Mus musculus: one gene and its partner. The protein of the gene in region 2 interacts with the protein of the main gene of each other region in a biochemical or structural test. Links are inferred from orthologs where the notes say so. Each region holds a gene or a part of one and is shown on either strand. Other genes may lie near its edges.

Region 1 (3,572 bases), on a different chromosome or scaffold from region 2:
AGCGCCTGCTCTATGCAAAAGAGGGGAGCTACCCTGTAAGTGGACAGAGCCAGGTGAACTACCTAACGTGCCTCGCCAAGCCCAGCCTTGCCCTGTTCATCCATCCCTGGGGTGTGATCTCTGCTGAGCTGCCTGCTCTCTTGGAAAATTCCCAAGCCAGGAAGGAAACGGTGAAAGTTTGAGGGTTGGAAAAGGTCATTTCCCCGCCCTGCTCCCAGCTCCCCACTGCCCTCTCAGGCAGAGAAGAGCTGGCAAAACGGCCCCCTCGCCACCCAAGTTCCTTCTCATGCTGATCAACGAGCCAACCTGCCTGCCAATAAATTACTATTATAAAATGTCGTGTGTAGCCATCGGCATACATATACATGTTTTGTGTACTCGGGCACACATGCACATGTATGCATGTATGTGTCATTATAAAGTTCAGCTTTACCCCCTCGCCCCTCTCTGTCTTGCAGGCGGCTTTGGACGAAAAGCCCCTAAGCCTTGCAGTACGACTCATCGCATCATGGGGGCCACATAGTTGGCAGGGAAGAGACCCAGTTTGTTGTGCAGACGGCCGGTCCACCAAGATGGGTTGGAGCTGTCCAGGACTTCAACCACTTCTCCGCTTCGGAATCCCAGCTCGTCCTCTTCCAGAGCCTCAAAGTCATACAGTGCCCTGGCCCAACGCACCCGCTGTAGGAGAGACAAGAGATGGGAATGAGCTCGGTAGGCTGGTCTTTGGTACGACTATCACACAGAGGAGCCGTGAGCTTCTAGATCTATTCTGAGTCCTCCGAGCCCTTCCCAAAGGCTGACTTTGCAGCAATCTAAAGCAGACCTGATATGCACAGCCCTGGGCACCAAGCTACTGGGCCGTACTACCTTTGCTCTTGATATGGTCTTGTTCTGCTACTGTGGTACAGGGGATGGAAGCTAGGACCTCATATATGTTATGTAAGTGCCCTACCACTGGGTAGGTCCCAAGGCCACGTGTACTGGATCGCAAGGATAAACCTCACGCATCCCCTGCTGCCAGGAGATGGAGAAGAGCGTGAAAGCCCAATAGTCTGAAAATAGCAGCCTGGATGAGCCAGGCTGAGCCCTCTCTGGTGAGACCTCCTCGCCCTCTCTGCTCACTCACCCCTGCTGCCTGGAGTTGTACGGGGTCGGTGTGTCTCCGGTGCATCAGCGTGGCGTTCACCTCACTTCCAAGGCCGCAGTGTCCATCGTTTATGTCCAGGCTGCCCCCACGACGGTCCTAGAGACATGAAGGAGAGGGCCGCTGCAGGATCAGTAGTGGTGACTCTCACAGACTGCCCCAACCCTGTGCCTTGCTTGGGGGTGCTGTCTACTGAGATAACACCCAAGAAGACTTGCTGGCCATCATCACCCTTCATCTTGGAAAACACACAGGAGGGAATCTGAAGGGATCTTAGATTCTGAAGTCAAAGATGATGGCCTCCATTTATTCAATGAAATCACAGTAATTTGGGGAGTCTTGTGTACCCCGAGCCTCAGGATTGCAACCAACCCACCACCACCACCACCACCACCATCATCATCATCACCATCTGTGTATGTGTATATTCATGTGTTAGTGTAGAGTCCTGAAGGTGATATGGGGTATCCTCTGTCACTCTTCTATCCACTTGAACGGATGTTTCTGAACCTGGAACTCACTGATTCAGCTAGACTGATTGGCCAATGAGCTCCTGGGATCTGCCTCAGCAGTGAGGTTAAGGATGTGTTCCTGATGCTAGTTTGTACGTGGGTGCTGTGAACCTGATTTCCGGCCCTCTTATCTGCCTAGCAAACACTTTATCCGTTAAGCCATCTCTCTAGCCCTATTTTTTTCCCTTTTAATCTTAAGACAGGGTCCCACTGTATAGCTCAGGCTGACCTTGCACTCACTGTGTAGCCCAGGATAGAGTTGGGCTCTTAATCCTCCTGCCTCAGGCTCCTAAATGTTGGGATTATAGGCATGCATTGTCATACCTAGCTTGTGTGGTTCTTTTCCTATTTACAAATAAAAAAAAAATCAGGAACATTTGCTGGTTTAGAGGAAGGACCATATACAGTGATGTGCTAAATGAGCAAATGGGAAAGCCCAGGTGTGCCTGGGTAGATCATGGAGGGCATCCTGGAAGAGGTGGTGCCTGGGCTTCAGTTTGAAGGAGAAGCGGTTTGGGCCAGGACAGACTCATCAGGCAGACAGAACAGTTTATAAAAAGCCAGAAAGAGAGAAAATGCTCTGAGCCACGCCAGTGTGGTGCCGTTTGCTGGGTTGCGTGTTTGCACGGTAGTGGGGGCTGGTAGCAGGATATGGGCCTGGGAAAGTAGATACAGGCAGCTCACAAAGGACTGTGTGCCCCGTGGAGGGATGTAGACCAATGTTGTCTTATTGTATTGTCCCTCTCTGTAAGCCTCTAGCAATTCCCTTCTGGAGCAGGCAGGGGTAGATAAACAATCAGGGCAGCGGTAGGTGTTAATCCGGTTTTCTTTTTACAGGTTAAGGGGCAGGGATTGAAAGTCTGATGACAGGAGAATTAGTCTTCGTGTGTGTGTGTGTGTGTGTGTGTGTGTGTGTGTGTGTGTGTGTGTGTGTGTGTGTGGTGTGGTGTGGTGGGGAGTTGGGCACCGGAAGTCAGTATCTTTCTCTCTCTCCATTTGCCTTATGTCTTGAGACAGCGTCTCTTCACCACCTTGGAGTTCACTATTTCAGCCTTCGCTCTTTGTCCTTGTCCCTTCCGTCTCCTCAAATACCTGGTGGAAATGCTGCAGATAACGCTGCTGTTGAGGGGGCTGCGGCCCTGGTGTGAACTGGGGTGACGGCTGCTGGTGCGGGTGGAACTGCTGGGGACCCAGAGGAAGGTGGTCTGACAGCTTCCGGTTCACTGAAGGTCGGATTTCTTCTCCTACGGTTCCACTCGGGTGAGGGCCGCCCTGGGACCTCCTGTCCAGGCTGTTGCCCCGGTGACCCTGGAAGAGAAAACAAGAGATCCAGATTCATCCTTTCCCTAGATCCTGTCTCTCTTCTGGCAGTAACTGTGTGGTGGTGGTGGTAGGGCTTAAAGAAAATCGAAGGTTTAGACCTCCACGTTATCAAAAGTGGCCTGCGAATACTCAAGTCTTTCCTAGCTCAGGAGTTCAGGTCTCTGGTTGACAATCTATCCGTTTCCATGCGGTCTCTGCTCAATCCATTCCTACTGGTTTGTTTCTGTCTGTAATCAGGCTTAACTATTCTATGTGACAGACAGGGATAGGTGGTTTGAAAAGGACACGTGTGCTTTGGGGAAGTAAACCCTGTCTCCCAGGCCATCAGCTGTTTTCGAGACTGGCATGTTACAATTATGGGAGGAGAGGGTTCCCCATCCAGGGCACACAGTCGTTCAGAAGAGAAAGCAAAGGTCAGCCAAGATCATGCGTGACAAATAATCCACATGTCGTCACCTGTTGCCAAACTGCTGGACATCCTACCCTCCAGATATCTCTACTCTTGACTTGGCATCATCCGGAGCTGTCCTTTACGGCCTGTCCTAGCGACCCTAGATAGCAACAGTCTGGCAGAGCTGTGAAAACCAGGCCTG
Region 2 (4,105 bases):
TTAGACTTAATCTGAGCTTCACGTTTCGCAGACCCCCCTGAATTCAATCACTCTTCCCTGATTCAGAAGCTAACAGGTTTGGCATGATTGGGACTTTTGTGGGAGAACATTGCTGTGGTCATATAATGATACATATAAGTAAACATAATCATATTATTATTAATATCTTTATAAATAATCAGCTGTATTTGGTTTTTGTGCTTGTGTTTTCTATTTTTGAGACACGGTCCTGGCTAGCCTGGAATCTGCTATGGAGACCAGTTTGTCCACGGAGCCTCCCATTTCTGCCTCTGGAGTGCTGGGTGGTATTGGGCATATAATACCACCATATCTGTCCCTTATTAGTTGTCATTTTCCTTCCCTGCAAGGCTTTTCTCCTTACCTTGTGGCTGGTGCCTAGTACAGAACTCAGTATGTCTGGCAGGCCATAAGTAATGAAAGAATGCACCGGACTGCATGATCAGCAAATATATTGTACTTTAGTTTCCTCAAGAATCCTAAAACCGTCTTTCCTAAATAGTGCCTTACCTCTATCTCCTCACCCCTCATCGCCTCACCACAATCGTCTCTTTAGAACTAATTCTGAAGATGTCACTGCCACTCTCAAATTTCTGGAATCAAGTTGCCATCTTTACCAAGAAATCCAAGCAAACTGTGACAGATGGAGAGACATCTTTGGGGAACCTCTGACAATTTGTCAAATCACATCTTTCAATGAAATTACTTGGCTGTATTAAATTATACCAGAAGGTGAGCCCGAAACTCGCTGGTGAGCTCCGTGAAAATAAATATTGCCTGGTTTCACACAAGCAAGCGAGTAGTCCGATGATTCTTGGTGTAGACGCCCCTCCACCAGAAACAGGTTTCATCAAAACAGGTAGTAAACTCTAATTAAGTGGGTACACGTTTTGCTTTTGGGAAACACATTTCACCCTAAAAATACTTGTTTCAAATGCCGGTACAAAGTGTCATTTCTTTACTGACAGGGTACATCGCAAAATTAGCCAATCTGAAGGAAGACTTAGGACCCTAGATTCCCGATGAGGATATAGTTCCACTCAAGTATTATAGGCTCCTTCAAGATACAGTTTTCCTAACCGTGAACACAGTCATCTCACAATCAGCATCTTGAATCAATTACGCAAATACCAGTTAAGCCGTTCTGGTGCCCGGGAAAAGAAACGCCAGCATCAAGAAATCCCTGTTGGCTTCAGCTGTCCCCTCCTGCGGGGCTTGACAGCGCTTCTAAGGCGCCCAAACACCAGCCACCAGGCTCCCCCCAGCGCCCTCCTGCCGAATCAAACCGCCAGGGTTCTCAGGCCAAAATCCAGTGTCCTCAAAGCAAAACCATGAAAATGCTAAGCAGACGGCAGGGTTCATAAGAACTTTTTTCCCCTTTCCCTTGAGCGAATATTTTGAGAAGTTTGCCTATATTATCCACTTCTTGCGTCCACAGTTCACTTCCCTCCACCTCCTGGAGGCGCAAAGGAGAGCGGGCGCGGACCCAATCGAGAACCCATGAGTACTTACTACCTCCGCGGTTTCTCGGGGAGGGGAGATTTAACAGCTCCATGAGAATCTGATACAGATAATAAAAGAAGGCTCTTTCTCCCTGTTTCACTCCACCCTTGCTAAATGGAAATAACAACAACCAAAGTATGCAGCCAGTTTTGAGCTGGAAAACTGGGCTTCTCTAACAGGCAACGAGGCCTACAAGGGAGGCAGTCTGCAATATGGAGGGAGAAAGTTTGGCCGCCGAGTGGACGTCAGGGTGGGAGTGGACCGCACCCGGTCCGGAGCCCGCCGGCCGAGAGACGGATCGAGGAAAAGGAGGGCGGGATTCGTGGAAGAGCCAACCGGGCGCGCAGGCTGCTGCAGCGGGGCAGACGGTGACCTGACCTGTACTTACATAACGCTTCAACTTCTTCTCCGGGGGCGACTTGCGGAGCCATCCCGAGCAAACCACTTCGCCGCCGCTCATGGTGCACGCCGTGAGGACTCGAGGACCAGACACCAAAGGGGTCGGTGGACACAGTGGACGCGCTCCGTGCACGGCGGGCACGGCAGTCAAACGCAGCCCAGAGGACGTCTCAGATTCCCCCGACGGGGCGGCCCGGCTCCCCGCGCCCTGTGTCGGCGATCGAACCTCTCCCGCAGATTCGCGGACTGAAGAGGAACTCGATCGGGAACCGCGGGGACCAGGGCTCGCCGACCTTCTTTCAGTGCGCCCTCCTGGCCGCCAGGCGCGCCGTCCCGCCGCCTAGGCAGCGGTCGGGCTCCGCTGGGACTCTGTCCGGACAGGGAGCCCAGAACTGGAAGCCCTGCGCTCCGCCCCTTGGAAACGGGACCTCCCGCGGGTGCTCCCCGCTGCGGACCCCACGCTGCACGCGCACACACAATGCCCGCGCGCGGTGTCCGCTCCGCTCCGCTCCGCCCGTTGGCGCATTCACACTGAGAGGGGCTCGATCTTCTCTTTCCCTCTGCTCGGAAAAGGGCGCCTGGGAAGGCGTGCGGCGTCCGGGTGGCAGCCGGCACAGGGGCAGGTCCTGATCAGCCTAGGGAGTTCGCGGACCAGCAGCGAGGGTCAGGGCGTCGCCGGGCGTCGGGGAGGTCGCGGGTCCGCGGTGGGAGGGTGGGTCTGCGCTCCAGCCTCGGATGAGGGCGGGGATCAGCACAGGGACGAGGCGCAGGGCGGCTCTGCTTCGGGGAGGGACCCCTCTGTCCTGTCCCCTGCGCTCCTCCCCCACCCCGGGGGCGCGCGGCGGGTTCGGGGAGGCGCGGCCTGGGCCCCGGCCCTCCTCCTCCTAGCCTTTCTGCCTCCCCTTCCCACGATCGGTCGCCTCTAGCTTCAGCCCAGACTTTCTCTGAAACTCCTCCGGAGCGCTTCCAGCCAAAACAACAAGGGCTGGGGAGGCGGGGCCGGCGCTGGGAGGGAGCGAGATGGCAGAGGCACCCTGGGATCTGTAGTCAGCAGGCGCGCTGGGGTCCTCGCCGCCCCGCCGCCCCGGGCCCGCGCGCTATGGAAGGCGGCGGTCTCCGGGAACGCAGCGCCACCCCAGTGTGAGAGCGGGAGTGCCGGGCACTCTCGCCAGCTCCGACTGAGTTTGCCATCTTGACAACCCCCAGGGTCAGGAGTTTGTACTCGGCTGTGCCTTCGCGATCCAGAGTTTTCGGAAGGATTTCCCTACTTGACAGTCTGAAAAAATAACCCAGCCAGGAGGAGAACTCACTCAAGCGGGTCCTGGCTGCTCGAGAGACTGAAGGACTGCGTCTCCCGGACCAGGAGCGCGCTAGGACCCTCACTGTGCACCCAGAGACCAAGGGGGTGGGGGACCTCCTGGGTGCCTAGGGCCTGACCCAGGAGCTGTTCTACCGAGTGATGCTACCGCTTAGCCTCCACAAAGCGTTCAGCTGCGTGTATCTCTAAGACAGGATAAAGTCTCACACTGCTTCCACTCATGGGCTGTTTCTTCCAGTTGGCGTTGTGTTTGTTTAAAACCTGCGCTAGGATGTTGGACAGGAAAAGAAATCATTCTGGGTACCCTAATTCTATTTGCCTTTTTGTGTGTTTTACAGTTATTATATCTGGGCTGAGTTTGACACAGTCTTGTAACAGACTCTTCTTTACGGGTGTGTTTGAAACAAAGCCTTGGAACAAATTTTAGAAGGCAATATAATCAGACAAAAATTTTAAAGAGTTGGGCATGGTGATGCATGTCTTTAATTCCAGCGCTTGGGAGGCCGAGGCAGGCAGATTTCTGTGAGTTTAAGGCCAGTTTTGTCCACAAAGTGAGTTCTAAGGCGACCAGGACTACATAAAGAGGCCCTGTCTCAAAAAGGGAGTTTGTGTGAAAATACAAATAGATAAACAAGCATTTCTGAGAAGCATGAGTTTGGGGCTCTCCTAATAAATGTGTGTTCTGAGTCTGAAACCTTGGGGGTCGTAAAGAGGAAAAGGTGCTGGGAGCCCTGCCTGGCAGAACCCCTGTAATCCCAGGCCTGCCAAGGTAGGTAGGGGAGGGGGAGGGAAAGAAAGACTAGAGAGAGACATGGAGGCAGGAGTGAAGAAATTAAAGAAAGAAAAGAAAAGTAGATGCTAAGTTAA

Evidence for each region.
Region 1: the proteins of Gab1 (region 2) and Grap2 form a complex in vitro, tested with the Homo sapiens proteins (2 studies listed by BioGRID and IntAct, with this or other methods). The link is inferred for Mus musculus from reciprocal best matches to the Homo sapiens genes GAB1 and GRAP2.

What each region holds. Positions count from the first base shown.
Region 1 is NC_000081.6:80,645,529-80,649,100, reverse strand, and holds part of Grap2 (GRB2-related adaptor protein 2), read right to left. Parts: intron 3,029-3,572; exon of another isoform or gene 2,965-3,028; coding exon 2,749-2,964; intron 1,244-2,748; coding exon 1,127-1,243; intron 679-1,126; coding exon 499-678; 3' UTR 1-498. UniProt on the Homo sapiens protein: Interacts with SLP-76 to regulate NF-AT activation. Binds to tyrosine-phosphorylated shc.
Region 2 is NC_000074.6:80,877,623-80,881,727, forward strand, and holds the start of Gab1 (GRB2-associated-binding protein 1), read right to left. Parts: upstream 2,858-4,105; 5' UTR 1,982-2,857; coding exon 1,910-1,981; intron 1-1,909. UniProt on the Homo sapiens protein: Adapter protein that plays a role in intracellular signaling cascades triggered by activated receptor-type kinases. Plays a role in FGFR1 signaling. Probably involved in signaling by the epidermal growth factor receptor (EGFR) and the insulin receptor (INSR).